Macaca mulatta: one gene and its partners. The protein of the gene in region 2 interacts with the protein of the main gene of each other region in a biochemical or structural test. Links are inferred from orthologs where the notes say so. Each region holds a gene or a part of one and is shown on either strand. Other genes may lie near its edges.

Region 1 (4,138 bases), on a different chromosome or scaffold from region 2:
TTAGAGTGCTCCCTGCAACGTCCACCTCCTGGGTTCGAGCTATCCTCCCGCCTCATACTCCCTAGTATTTGGCATTACAGGCGCGTGCCACCACGCCCTGCTAATTAGTAATTTCAGTAGAGATGGGGTTTCACCATGTTGGGCAGGTGAAACTCCTGACCTCAGGTGATCCGCCCACCTCAAGCTTCCCAAAGTACTGGGATTACAGGCGTGAGCTATGGGCGCCCGGTCCAAAATGGCATTTGAGCTAGGGTCCAGTTTTCGTAGCTCCCACTACCTGTCGTGCACAACATAGACACTAAATACCTTATTGCTTATTATGAAGCCCCGTTCTTCAGAAACGTTTTATAGCACTTTCGTTAAACCTCCTTCCTGTTCATAATGCAGTGCACTAGAGTATTTTTCCCATACTCCACCGTTAAGTGGCCTCTTGGTAAGCAGGACTGTTTTGGGTCTCTTGGTTACTATCCCCTAATACACCCTATTAGTGTGTTGCACGAAGCGACGGGGAACCCGTTCTCCCCCAAATGATGTGCGTGGAGACACCCAATGTCCTAGCCTCTCCATTCCCAGAAACCTAAGACTCTCCCACCAAATATCCTTCCTGTCTCATCTACAGCACTGAGGTCTCAAGGTAGGGGCAAAAGCCCGCCCCAAATGGCAAATGCTCCTCCTCCGCCAAGAACCTCCAATTTCCGCTGTCCCTAGACAGAGCCTCCAACCTTCAGAAAAATGGCGAGGTAGACCCAGGCCCTTGATTCTGAAGTGAGCCCTTTTCCACAGCACAGCCTTTTCACAGGTTTTTGTGGTGGAATGATTCCTCAGTGAACTGATTTACTCCCTCAAGAGTAACCAACGCTCCATTTTAGTTCTATAGGATCCTGACTCCGTGTCCCTCCGCCTCGGCCTTGCCTCCCACTGCCAACGCAGCCGTTTCTCAGAGAAATCGCCCAAGGCGCATGGCCGGGCAGTTGGGACACCAACGGTTTTCTAACGCGAGAGGACAGCGAGGGAGGAGAGGCGGGAACGCGTAGCGACTAGCAGGGGGCGGGGTGGGGGTGGGGTGGCGGACGAAGGGCGGGGCCGACGCCAGGAAGGATCGCGAAGGAGCTGGGAAGCCCCGCCCTTTCCGTAGATATCTCTAGAAAGCCGCGCCGGACCCCGAAAACAAGGACTGCGCACGCGCGGCGGTAAGGCCCGGGCATTTTGCTGCGTCACCAGCCGCCGCCCGGCCTCACCACCCCTCGTTTGCACGCACGCACGTTCATTCTCCGTCCTCGCGCCCGTTTTCCTACACTTTCCTCTTCTCCCCGACCGGAGGAGCCGCTCTTTCCGCGCGGTGCATTCTGGGGACCGAGGTCGAGCCCGCCGCTGCCGCCGTCGCCTGAGGGAAGCGAGAAGAGGCCGCGACCGGGGAGAAAACGCGGAGTCGCCACTGGAGAGAAGTCGACTCCCTAGCAGCAGCCACCGCCAGAGAGGCCCGCCCACCCGTTCGCCCGTCCCCCTGCCCCGTTCACAATGTGAGTGCGACACCCCGCCGAGGGAAGGTCGCCCAGAGTGAGGCCGAGGCCGCGTTGGGGGCTCCCTGGAAGCGGCCCTTGCCCTCCCTCTGCTTTTGGCCCCATAGCCTTTCTCGCATCGGTGGTGGCAGTCGTTCCTGCCTGGGGGCGGGAGGTCCAGGATCCTTGTTCCGGTTACCGTTGGCGGGTGGAGGACATTTTTCCTCCAGATGTCTGCTTCCCCCACCCCTGAAACGTCCCTTGGCTTCCCTATACCGGAAATCCTACTTTTTCCCTCTTTGGCTGTCTGGGCTACTGGCTTCCTTAGGTAACTTCACCTTAGGCCTTAAGCTCCCCGGAGCTGCTCGCCATGCGGCGCCGTGAAGCGTGAACCCTCGTGGGTCGCCTCGGCTGCTTGGGCGCTCCGGTTCTGCTGCTTTGTGGTCCCCGGGCCAGGCCCTGAGTCGAGTGCACCTGTGGTGGGTGCCGCCAGTTGCCTGGCGGAGCTCCTGGGAGAGCCCCACGCGGGCCTAGCCGTGAGCGGCAGGTACTGCTAGGCAACTAGAGTGAAGCCATGCCCACGCCGCAACATACTTCTCTCTCCAGTGTCTGGGTTTCTTGAGTGTGGGTACTTGAAGTCCGCCTCGTAACTCCAGTCTCTTGAAAACACGGGAGGTTGCCAAAACTCAGCCGCTTCCCTGGCAGCGAGGAGGAGTTACCGTTGAGCAGGTAGTTCTGCACGTGTCTGCTTTGGAAAGACACGGACATTTTCTGTGTTCCATGTTAAACCTGAGGTGAGGTTTCACTATCCTGTAACTGTGGGGTGAAATATGTATGTAATAGGCGTGTAATTAACCTACTGTTGTCCTAAAGAGTTTAAATTTGTGTTGAGATTCTATGGTAGTCTTCATTTTATGATGATAAAGGAAACCTCGGCGATTTTAACCGAGTAAGAATTCTTGGCACTGCCACGTACAGTGGGAACTGCCGGTTTTACAGGGTTTTGTTTTAGTTTTTGGTTTTTTTTTGACGGGAGGTTATTTTTTAAGGTACTAACTGCGTCCTAAAAGGTATGGAGAGCAATTAAGGGGGAACCTTTTTTTAAAAAATATTCCATTCAGAAGAGATGAGAGGGAGTGACTTTGTGGAAAAGTAAGAAGGGTTTGCTTGATTCAAAGTCATGATACTGACGGCTAGAAATCTAAAGGAATGAGTGAGGGATACACTGAAGCGAAGTTTATCACTGGAAACAAGCTTCTAGAGCACAGCATGTTAGAATTTTTGAGGGAGCCCCCTCCCCGAGAGTGATACGTAATCGGGGTTTTTAAAAGTTTGAATCAGGCTGGGCGCGGTGGCTCACACCTGTAATCCCAGCACTTTAAGAGGCCGAGGTGGGCGGATCACCTGAGGTCGGGAGTTCGAGACCAGCCTGACCAACATGGAGAAACCCCGTCGCTACAAAAATACAAATATTAGCCGGGCGTGGTGGCACATGCCTGTAATCCCAGCTACTCGGGAGGCTGAGGTAGGAGAATCGTTTGAAACAGGGAGGCAGAGGTTGTGGTGAGCCGAGATCTTGCCATTGCACTCCAGCCTGGACAACAAGAGTAAAACTCCGTCTCAAAAAAAAAAGTATATAAAATAGCTTTTGTTTTTCCCTTTGAAATCTCTCATAAGTAATGTAGAAGGGACATCAGTCTTAACCTTTCATACTCTGAAAATCTGTAAGGGAAAATTTTTGTCAGATAAGGCATTAAGCAGCTTTTAATAATAGAGCCAAACAACATATCTTTTCGTGAAAAATGTTTAAAATGGGCTCGAAGTAGAAGCACTTTCTGGAGGGCACATGAGATATCTAAATAGGTAAGGAACGGCTAAGTTAGGAAAGTAAATTTAAAAACTTGGGTGAAAAGTGTAAGGCCAGGCGCGGTGGCTCACGCCTGTAATCCCAATACTTGGGAGGCTGAGGCAGGTGGATCACGAGGTCAGGAGTTAGAGACCAGCTTGGCCAATATGGTGAAACCCCGTTTCTACTAAAAATACAAAAACTAGCCGGGCGTGGTGGTGCACTCCTGTAGTCCCAGCTATTCGGGAGGCTGAGGCAGGAGAATCGCTTGAACCCAGGAGTCGAAGGTTTTAGTGAGCCGAGATTGCGCCACTGTACTCCAGCCTGGGCAATAGAGGGAGACTCCGTCTCAAAAAAAGTAAGTGTAGCAGTAGAGAGACAATTCCAAAAAGCAGCCTCTCTAGTTAAAAAAAAAAAAATGGTACCTTCATGCCGGGCGCGGGGGCTCACGCCTGTAATCCCAGCACTTTGGGAGGCCAATGCGGGCGGATCACGAGGTCGTGAGATCAAGACCATCCTGGCTAACACGGTGAAACCCCGTCTTTACTAAAAATACAAAAAATTAGTCAGGCGTGGTCGCAGGCGCCTGTGGTCCCAGTTGCTGGAAGCCTGAGGCAGGAGAATGTCGTGAACCCGAGAGGTGGAGCTTGCAGGGGGGATCGCGCCTCTGCACTCCAGCCTGGGCCACACAGTGAGACTGTCTCAAAAAAAAAAAAAAAAAAAGCTACCTTTAAAACGAGTGATGCGGCCGGGCGCGGTGGCTCACGCCTGTAATCCCAGCACTTTGGGAGGC
Region 2 (3,644 bases):
ACCTGGCAGTAGGACTTTCCCTTCTTCTTAGCTCCCTCCCTTCTTCCCAGTTCACCCTCAGATAAGCTGGAAGGTGAAACCGTAATGCCATTCAGAGTGCAAGGCCACTAGGTCGTCGCTTCGCCTCCTGGGACACCTCCTTCTGAACTGCATTCCTTCTTCTCTCCACCTCCAAAAGTCATTACTTGTTGTGCTTAGTGGCACAAAATATTCTGTAAAATAGATGCCTTCTTTTTTCCAACTTAATGATAGCATCCCTTGGTGAGCCCTAACTGGAATACAGAACTGCACCTGACAGCCATGGCCTGCTCAGTGAAGTTGCTTAGCGATTGTATCAGAGGCATTTGAACCAGAGCAACTCCATATGGAATAGGGGCTGGGTAACATAAGACTGAGATCTACTGGGCTGCATTCCCAGGAGGTTAAGGCATTCTTAGTCACAGGATGAGGTAGGAGGTTAGCACAAGATAGAGGTCATAAAGACCTTGTTGATAAAACAGGCTTTGCAGTAAAGAAGCCAGCCAAAACCCAGCAAAACTAAGATGGTGACAAGAGTGACCCCTGGTCACCCTCACTGCTCATTATACACTAATTATAATGCATTAGCATGCTAAAAGACACTCCCCCCAGCACCATGACAGTTTACAAATGCCATAGCAACGTCTGGAAGTTACCCTATATGGTCTAAAAAGGGGAACTTTCTCAGTTCCTGGAATTTTGCACCCCTTCCTTGGAAAATTTGTGAACAGTCCACCTACTGTTTAGCATATAATCAAGAAATAACTATGAGTATCCCTAGTCCAGCAGCCCAAGCTGCTGCTCTGCCTATGGAGTAGCCATTCTTTTATTCCTTTACTTTAATTAATTAATAAGCTTGCTTTCACTTTACGCTATCGACTTGCCCTTAATTCTTTCTTGCACGAGGTCCAGACCCTCCCTTGGGGTCTGGATCAGGACCCTTTTCCAGTAACAGTTGGGACCAGGTAGAAATTGGAGTCTGGAGAAGTTTCCCTTTATTCCTGAAAGTTGATCTGTGATCCTTTCATGTGGAAGGAAACAGGACTTGATTTAGAAGAAATGATTCTAATACTGGCCAGGCGTGGTGGCTCACACCTGTAATCCCAGCACTTTGGGAGGCCAGAGTTTGAGACCAGCCTGGCCAACAGCCTGGCCCTATCTCTACTACAAATACAAAAAAAATTAGCCAGACGTGGTGGTGAGCACCTATAATCCCAGCCACTCAGGAGGCTGAGGCAGGATAATCACTTGAACGGGGGAGGCAGAGGCTGTAGTGAGCAGAGATCACGCCATTGCTCTCCAGCCTGGGCAACAAGAGTGAAACTCCATCTCAAAGACAAAAAAAAAAAAAATGATTCTAATACTGGCTCTGCCTTGGGCCAGCCACATCACTTTTAGCTAATTATTTTCCCTTGGGGTGTGTGTTTCATCCAGCCTTCCGTTCAGTTAAATATTTTAGTAAGCACCTTCTGTGTTCCAGCTACCTCTGCCATGATGAACTTATATCGTCTTATGGGAGCCAAACAGCAGAGTGCAAATAGGAAGCCACATACAAAGGCTATGTAGTAAATGAAGACAGAGGGTGGGGGTGGGAAAGGGCCAGGTGGTAAATATTTTTGGCTTTGTGGCCATCACTCAACTCTGTTGTGGAGAGGAAACAGCCATAGGCAGTACATAAATGAATGGACATGGCTGTTTTCCAGTACAACTCTATTTACTGAAACAAGTGTTGGGCCATAGTGTGCTGACTCCCAGACTAGATCAGAAAGGTCCTTAAAATCCGAGGACGTGGCTTTAGATTTGAACTTGTAGTTAATGGGGATCTCTTGAAGATTCTCAAGCTGGAATGTAATTTGATGGAAATCTATTTTGTGTAGAACCATGTAAAAGCATCTGACGGAAAGAGAGCCTAATGCCCCAGGTTGTTGCTGCTTTTGAACTGCGTAGGAGCACTTCGTGACCTGCTAGGAATTTAGGGGGAAATTGTCATGGTTATAAACGTTGACAGACCTTCCACTGTTTCTTGTATGCAGTGAACATAAAACAAAATTGTGGATGCTGGATTAGAAGCTCCCTGAGGGCAAGGACTTTGTTTTCTTTGTTGCCATATGTAGTCTCTGGGATGTAAGCATACTCACATATTTGAATGCATTAATGGGGCAGTAACCCTGAATCTTAAATATGCAAAACTGCTCACCCCTAGGCATAATGGAAAAGCATGTCACCTAATGAGTGTCATTTAAAAATATCACAGTATCAGTGATGCCACTGACCTCATGGCTTGTTTTTTTTTCTTTCCAGATGGCAGATGATCAGGGCTATGTTGAAGAGCAGGGGGTTGGGAATTCAGCAAATGAAGATTCAGTGGATGCTAAGCCAGACCGGTCCTCATTTGTACCATTCCTCTTGAGGTAGGTTTGCTTAATCGGGGACCCTGGACCACATCAGCCTGCCGTGCCTCTGCCATCTCCACCCACCTATGGGGAGGGGGACACTCAGGGAAGGAGGTTCATGCTGAGCATGGGAGGTTTGCACAGGTTCTTGCTAGCCACATACAAAGGCTATGCAGCTGTATGCAGCAACACTAGGGTCCTGCATGCGGCTGTATGCAGCAACACTAGGGTCCTCATGTGCACCCTCTTGTCTGTGGGCCAAGCCCAGGAATGGATAAAACCAAGCATTGGGAGTCTCCTGCTCAGCGGCCGAGTGTCTGGTAGCAGTTCCTAGGAATCAAGGGCTGTTCTCATTAGAGGCGATTTGCAGGCACCTTCAGAACAGAGCTTGGGCTGCTGCTGCCAATGGGACCAAATTTGACAAAAAACACAGAATCCAGGGGCTGAGGGACAGGTTTTAGGGTGACTCACACCTACCCTGTGCCTCCTGCTGCATTCCACTGATGGAAGGGGGATTGCATCCTGTTCATTAGTTCCCGCCTTCCCCTTTCTTGAGTTCACTTTTAAAATCTAAATTTTGTGTTTAATAATATAATAGCTTCATTGATTAAACTCTTGTATGGCTGCTTTGTATTATTGCATTTAGTCTACATAATTGCACATTTAGTTTTATTGTTGTCACCATTTATCAGGTAGGGAAACTGAGGTGCTGTGAGGTTTAATAGCTTGCCTTTTTGCTGACAGTAAATGATAAAGCTGAGAAACTAAACAATGCCAGCACCACTCACTTAAAGGTTCTGCTGTGTGCTTCCCTTTTAAAAGTAGGGCTAGCTTGGCGCAGTGGCTTACACCTGTAATCTCAGCACTGTGGGAGGCCAAGGAGAGAGGATTGCTGGAGCCCAGGAGTTTGAGACTAGACTGGACAACATAGTGAGAGCCCCGTCTCTACAAAAAAAAGATAAGAAAATTAGCTGGGTGTGGTGGCACATGCTGGTAGTCTGGCTATTCGGGAAGCTGAGGCAGGAGAATCACTTGAGCCCAGGAGATCAAGGCTGCACGGGACCATGACTGCACCACTGTACTCCAGCCTGGGCAACAGAGTGAGACTCTGTCTCAAAAAACAAGTTGTTTTTTTTTTTTAATAAAAAATAAAAGTAGGACTGCAAGGACTTGGAGGAACCCCAGACCCTCCCTTAACCTTGATCATGGATGGACAGTGAGTGGAGCTTCCTG
Region 3 (4,120 bases), on a different chromosome or scaffold from region 2:
CTTCACTCTCCCTTTATTGTTGTTCTCATCTCTTTCGGCTGAGTGCATACTACTAACTACACAAAATTAAATGCTGCATAACATGATCCCTCTCACTGTACCAACTCCATGTATTAGTCTATGTACCTCTCCCCTCTTCTCAAAAGCCCTTCTTCTGGTTTTATCTAAATGTATACCTGATCTAATAGGTCTTCCCTGGTCCTGTTAGCTTCATCCTACATGTCTGTCCTCCCCTGGAACTCCTGAAAACACTTCAGAAAACATGGGCGTCTGCTCAATAGCTCCTCACCCAAGTGCCTGCCAACCTTCACCAGCCTGGAGCTCATAGCTCAACACCTGTCTGGGTGCTGACTTACATACAGCTGAATGGTGTTACCTGCTAATAGATATGTTCTAGTGCCCAACTGCATAGTAAATTGTCACAGGGCAGGGAGAAGGCAGGGCAAGAACAAGGTCTCAAAATCCTTTCCCACCTCCCTCAGCACACAGTGCTATGCACACAGCACGACCTCAGACTCTTGCTAGGTAAAACCACTCCCAATACCCCCAAAATACCTCTCAGCCCACCAATTTAGATGTATCTAAGGCATTACAGGTGCAGGTGCCTTAGAGTCCCTCTAGTACACGCGCTAGAGGTGGAGATTAGTCATAGAGGGTGACTAACTCCTCCCTCCTGCCTTTCTGTCCCAACCAGGTACCCAAGACGTGCACCTCCAAGACAGGGACCATGCCTCTTTTACTCCCCGGTGCTTGGAGGTCAGCGCGGAGTTCAGCACACAGCCAGTACTGAAGGAGGAATTGACTGAAGGGAGAGATTATCTCCATGACTCATGCTACTTGGTGGTTTCCTTTCAGCTGGAAGCCTCAATTCACTGTCAAATGGAAAGTTAAAGAAAATCCCGATGACTATGTCTATGCAAATGCAGGAAAACGAAAAACTTATTTTCCACCATGAATTTGGCAACTTCCTGCGAAACTGAACAACTTAATGCTGCAGACTGCAAAATCACACTCACCATCACTCTTTCCTAATCAACTCTTCCCTCAACTTCACAATTCCCACCAACACCACACTCCAATCAGCCAGACATACAACCTCCACAGCGCGTTCAACCAGTACTGCCCTTCATGGCCTATGAAAAACTAGGTACTCAAGTGCTGCTTATATACTCCTTGATCTCACAGCAATCACCCACCCGTTTTCTTCCACTCTTCACACCTGCTGTGCACAAGACTTCAACTGATGCCTTGCTCTCTGGCACTCAGCCCTCCAGGCCCCATCCTCTCACCTTCTTCCCAGACCCTAAATGCCACCATCAGGCTAGTATTTACTTAGTGCTGTTTTCAACCAGTCTGTCCTCTGCTCAAACAATAACTTCACAGTTCTGAAACCATCAGCCTACACTCTTCTGTTCCAGGCTGACCCAGGCCCATATTCACTCTCGGACTCCAGGAACTCTGACTTATCCTCCTGCTTTGGCTAGGACGGTCACTGTGTCTCTCTTTCCAGGAACATATAACATTCTCTGCCATCTCAAAACCTTAACAAAGGTCTTACTCCTGCTTATCCAAATCCCACCCACCCTCTGACAAAGTTTTCCCAAAGTCCAGTCGCAATGGGTCCTCTCTCTTCCCCCTGCCACAGAACTGTATTTAACCTTCCTGCACTACCTTCCTGTTGGTTCATAAACACTCTCTCCTGTGTGGAAAGTCAGAACAGCTGATGAGGAAGATAAGCCACATAGCCACATGATCCTGCCCAAACCACCAGACTTTCCAATCTCACACAACAGTTATGAAGCTCAAATGAGAATTTACAGGAAGGGGACTTGTTCATCTCACATTCGTAAGACCGTCCAAGTGGAGGATCCCTCTAATGCCTGCCAAGTGCAGATATTTCCCATCATGCACAACCCTAGAGAGCTAAGATCTCAGCAAACACCAATTATATGTAAGATAGTGAAAGAACACACTTCTCATGGAGCACCGGTCTTCACATTCTCCATGTAGCCACTCAGGAACTTCTCTGGCGCAAAATTTTAAGCGGTTGCACAAGTACGTAGGAGACAGGGGTGAAAAACGGGGACACTGCTATTTTTGGCAAATCTGGTGGCAAGGTGCCCATTCTAAGGGTGGAACATAAACTGTAAGCCACAATCCGATCAGTGGGGCATAAGGAACAAAAGAACTGAGGAGTAGGGATGCGAGCAGAGTAGACCAGGGTACCAATGAAACAAACACCTGGGCAAAGAACGCTTTGGACCATAAAACCGGGACCACTGTCCTTCCTGACGCTCACTACCATCACAGCTGGGCGTGCCCAGGCTCGGGCCTGTGAGCCGTAAAATCGCAGCTCACCGGGCCAGACCGGGGCGGCCACTCCCCTCCGTCCTGGGCGAGGCTTACCAATCGAGATCTCCTGCGCGAAGGCCAGCGAGATGAGCAGCAGCGGCAGCCCCACGGCAATGCACGTAACCATCTTGTCCACGGCCAGCTCCAGTCGCAGCCCCTTGAACTTAGGCTCGGTGGGCTCCTTCAGCAAGAAATCCGAGAACACGTACTCCGTGGCCAGGTGGGCGATGGCCATGGCTGCGGCGCGCCAGGCTCGGCCAGGCAGGACTTGGTACTGCCGGCGTCGGGAGAGCTGCGCGGCTCCTTCACCCTGTCACTGGCCGGGCGTGCGGCTTTCGCTTTCCCTTTACCTGCTCCCCAGATGCTCTCGCATCCCGCCTGCCTTTGTGTCTCGGTGCCTCCGGCTCCCAGCGACCCCGCTGGGCTCTCGCGCTCGCTGCCTCCGCCGCCGGCGGGGCGGGGCGGGGACCCGGGCGCTCCGGTTCCTGCGGTCCCACCTCGCGCGCTCAGCCGGTGTAAGTCCCCGGGGCGCGCGCGGCACTCGGATTCGCGCCTCTCCCGCGCGCCCGCAGGCGCGGGAACCACGCGCGAGACAAAGCGCTTCCCTCTGGCCCTGCGCCTACGCGTCGCCCCGGCTGCAGAAGAGGCCTCCGGGCCTGCCCTGCGCTCTCTGCCAGCCGCGCCGCGCTCTTCCGGAACCATCCGGGGAAACCGAGTACCCAGGGGCGTGGAGCTTCCGGAGACGCGGTGACGCGAGGCGGGGTGGGCGCGGCTGCATCCAGCGCCCCTCGGGCCCGCTCTCCGACAAAGGGATTTTCCCGCTGAGCGGCACCTTTGAAAATTCTCCCGTCCCTCCCGGCCGCATTCTCCTCACGTCCTGGCACCCGGGAATTTTAAAATCATTTCTGCAAGCAACTCTTTCTGTGGACGGGATGGCCCCCTTTACGCCCCACCCCTAACATTTCCAACACAGTGAAATGGGTTAGAAGGAGCTGTAAAAACTTCAAAGAAGAGTCAGTGCCGTAAAAGGCCAATCGAGCGGTGTAGACAGACGGTCCCTTGCAGAGGGAGCGCTGGACCCTTCCAGGAGCTCCGCGTGAGATGGTGGCGTGGAAACGCTGGTGAGTGTGGAGTATGACCCGTCTGAGGCCTGAGTAGCGCTGCTGGTCCCGTTTCTCTTTCCTCTGCCATCCCAATCAGAGCCTTGTTCTGGGAGCCAGCAGAGGGGCGGCCTGCAGGTAGCTGGGTGTTGAGGCTGCAGAGAGCTGCTTCTGAACAGCTCACAGGAAGTGGATGATAGAAAGACAGGAGGAAATACTCTGACAAGTGTCCACGGAAATTAAGGCTGTTGAGGTAGAAATAATTCGATTTATCGGAAGCTAAATGTGAGGATCCAGCCAAGAAGACTTACCAGCAAAGTTGGGCATGTTTCAAAATGTGTTACACGTTGGAAGGGTTTTAGAAGAAAGTTTAGGAAAAGGGAGGAGGACCCCTCATGTCGGAGTTGGGTTTTTTTTCATCGGAGGGTGCGGTACACAGGTTACAGTCACGGGCTTCGGGTGACAACATACAGTCTAAAATGTTTTGTGCACAAGAAAATCAAAGTTTCTATGATTCAGAAACAAGTCAAGTGTTCTTTTCAATGTCAGTTTTTACATATTAATCAGTACATCAACAGTTCGAGGAACTGACAAAAAGATTTCAAAGACTCACAGATTTTTTTACTCAGGGACAGACAGGATCTAAGCCATGAATCATAAGACCTTTC

Evidence for each region. The genes of interacting proteins can lie anywhere in the genome.
Region 1: of the proteins of CASP7 (region 2) and PTGES3, one has a biochemical effect on the other in vitro, tested with the Homo sapiens proteins (2 studies listed by BioGRID and IntAct). The link is inferred for Macaca mulatta from reciprocal best matches to the Homo sapiens genes CASP7 and PTGES3.
Region 3: of the proteins of CASP7 (region 2) and PANX1, one has a biochemical effect on the other in vitro, tested with the Homo sapiens proteins (2 studies listed by IntAct). The link is inferred for Macaca mulatta from reciprocal best matches to the Homo sapiens genes CASP7 and PANX1.

What each region holds. Positions count from the first base shown.
Region 1 is NC_133416.1:63,860,504-63,864,641, reverse strand, and holds the start of PTGES3 (prostaglandin E synthase 3), read left to right. Parts: upstream 1-1,269; 5' UTR 1,270-1,518; coding exon 1,519-1,520; intron 1,521-4,138. UniProt on the Homo sapiens protein: Cytosolic prostaglandin synthase that catalyzes the oxidoreduction of prostaglandin endoperoxide H2 (PGH2) to prostaglandin E2 (PGE2).
Region 2 is NC_133414.1:125,839,922-125,843,565, forward strand, and holds part of CASP7 (caspase-7), read left to right. Parts: intron 1-2,319; coding exon 2,320-2,429; intron 2,430-3,644. UniProt on the Homo sapiens protein: Thiol protease involved in different programmed cell death processes, such as apoptosis, pyroptosis or granzyme-mediated programmed cell death, by proteolytically cleaving target proteins.
Region 3 is NC_133419.1:94,944,215-94,948,334, reverse strand, and holds the start of PANX1 (pannexin-1), read right to left. Parts: upstream 2,588-4,120; coding exon 2,407-2,587; coding exon of another isoform or gene 2,354-2,406; intron 1-2,353. Other genes in the region: uncharacterized protein LOC114672334, read left to right, coding at 2,354-3,103. UniProt on the Homo sapiens protein: Ion channel involved in a variety of physiological functions such as blood pressure regulation, apoptotic cell clearance and oogenesis.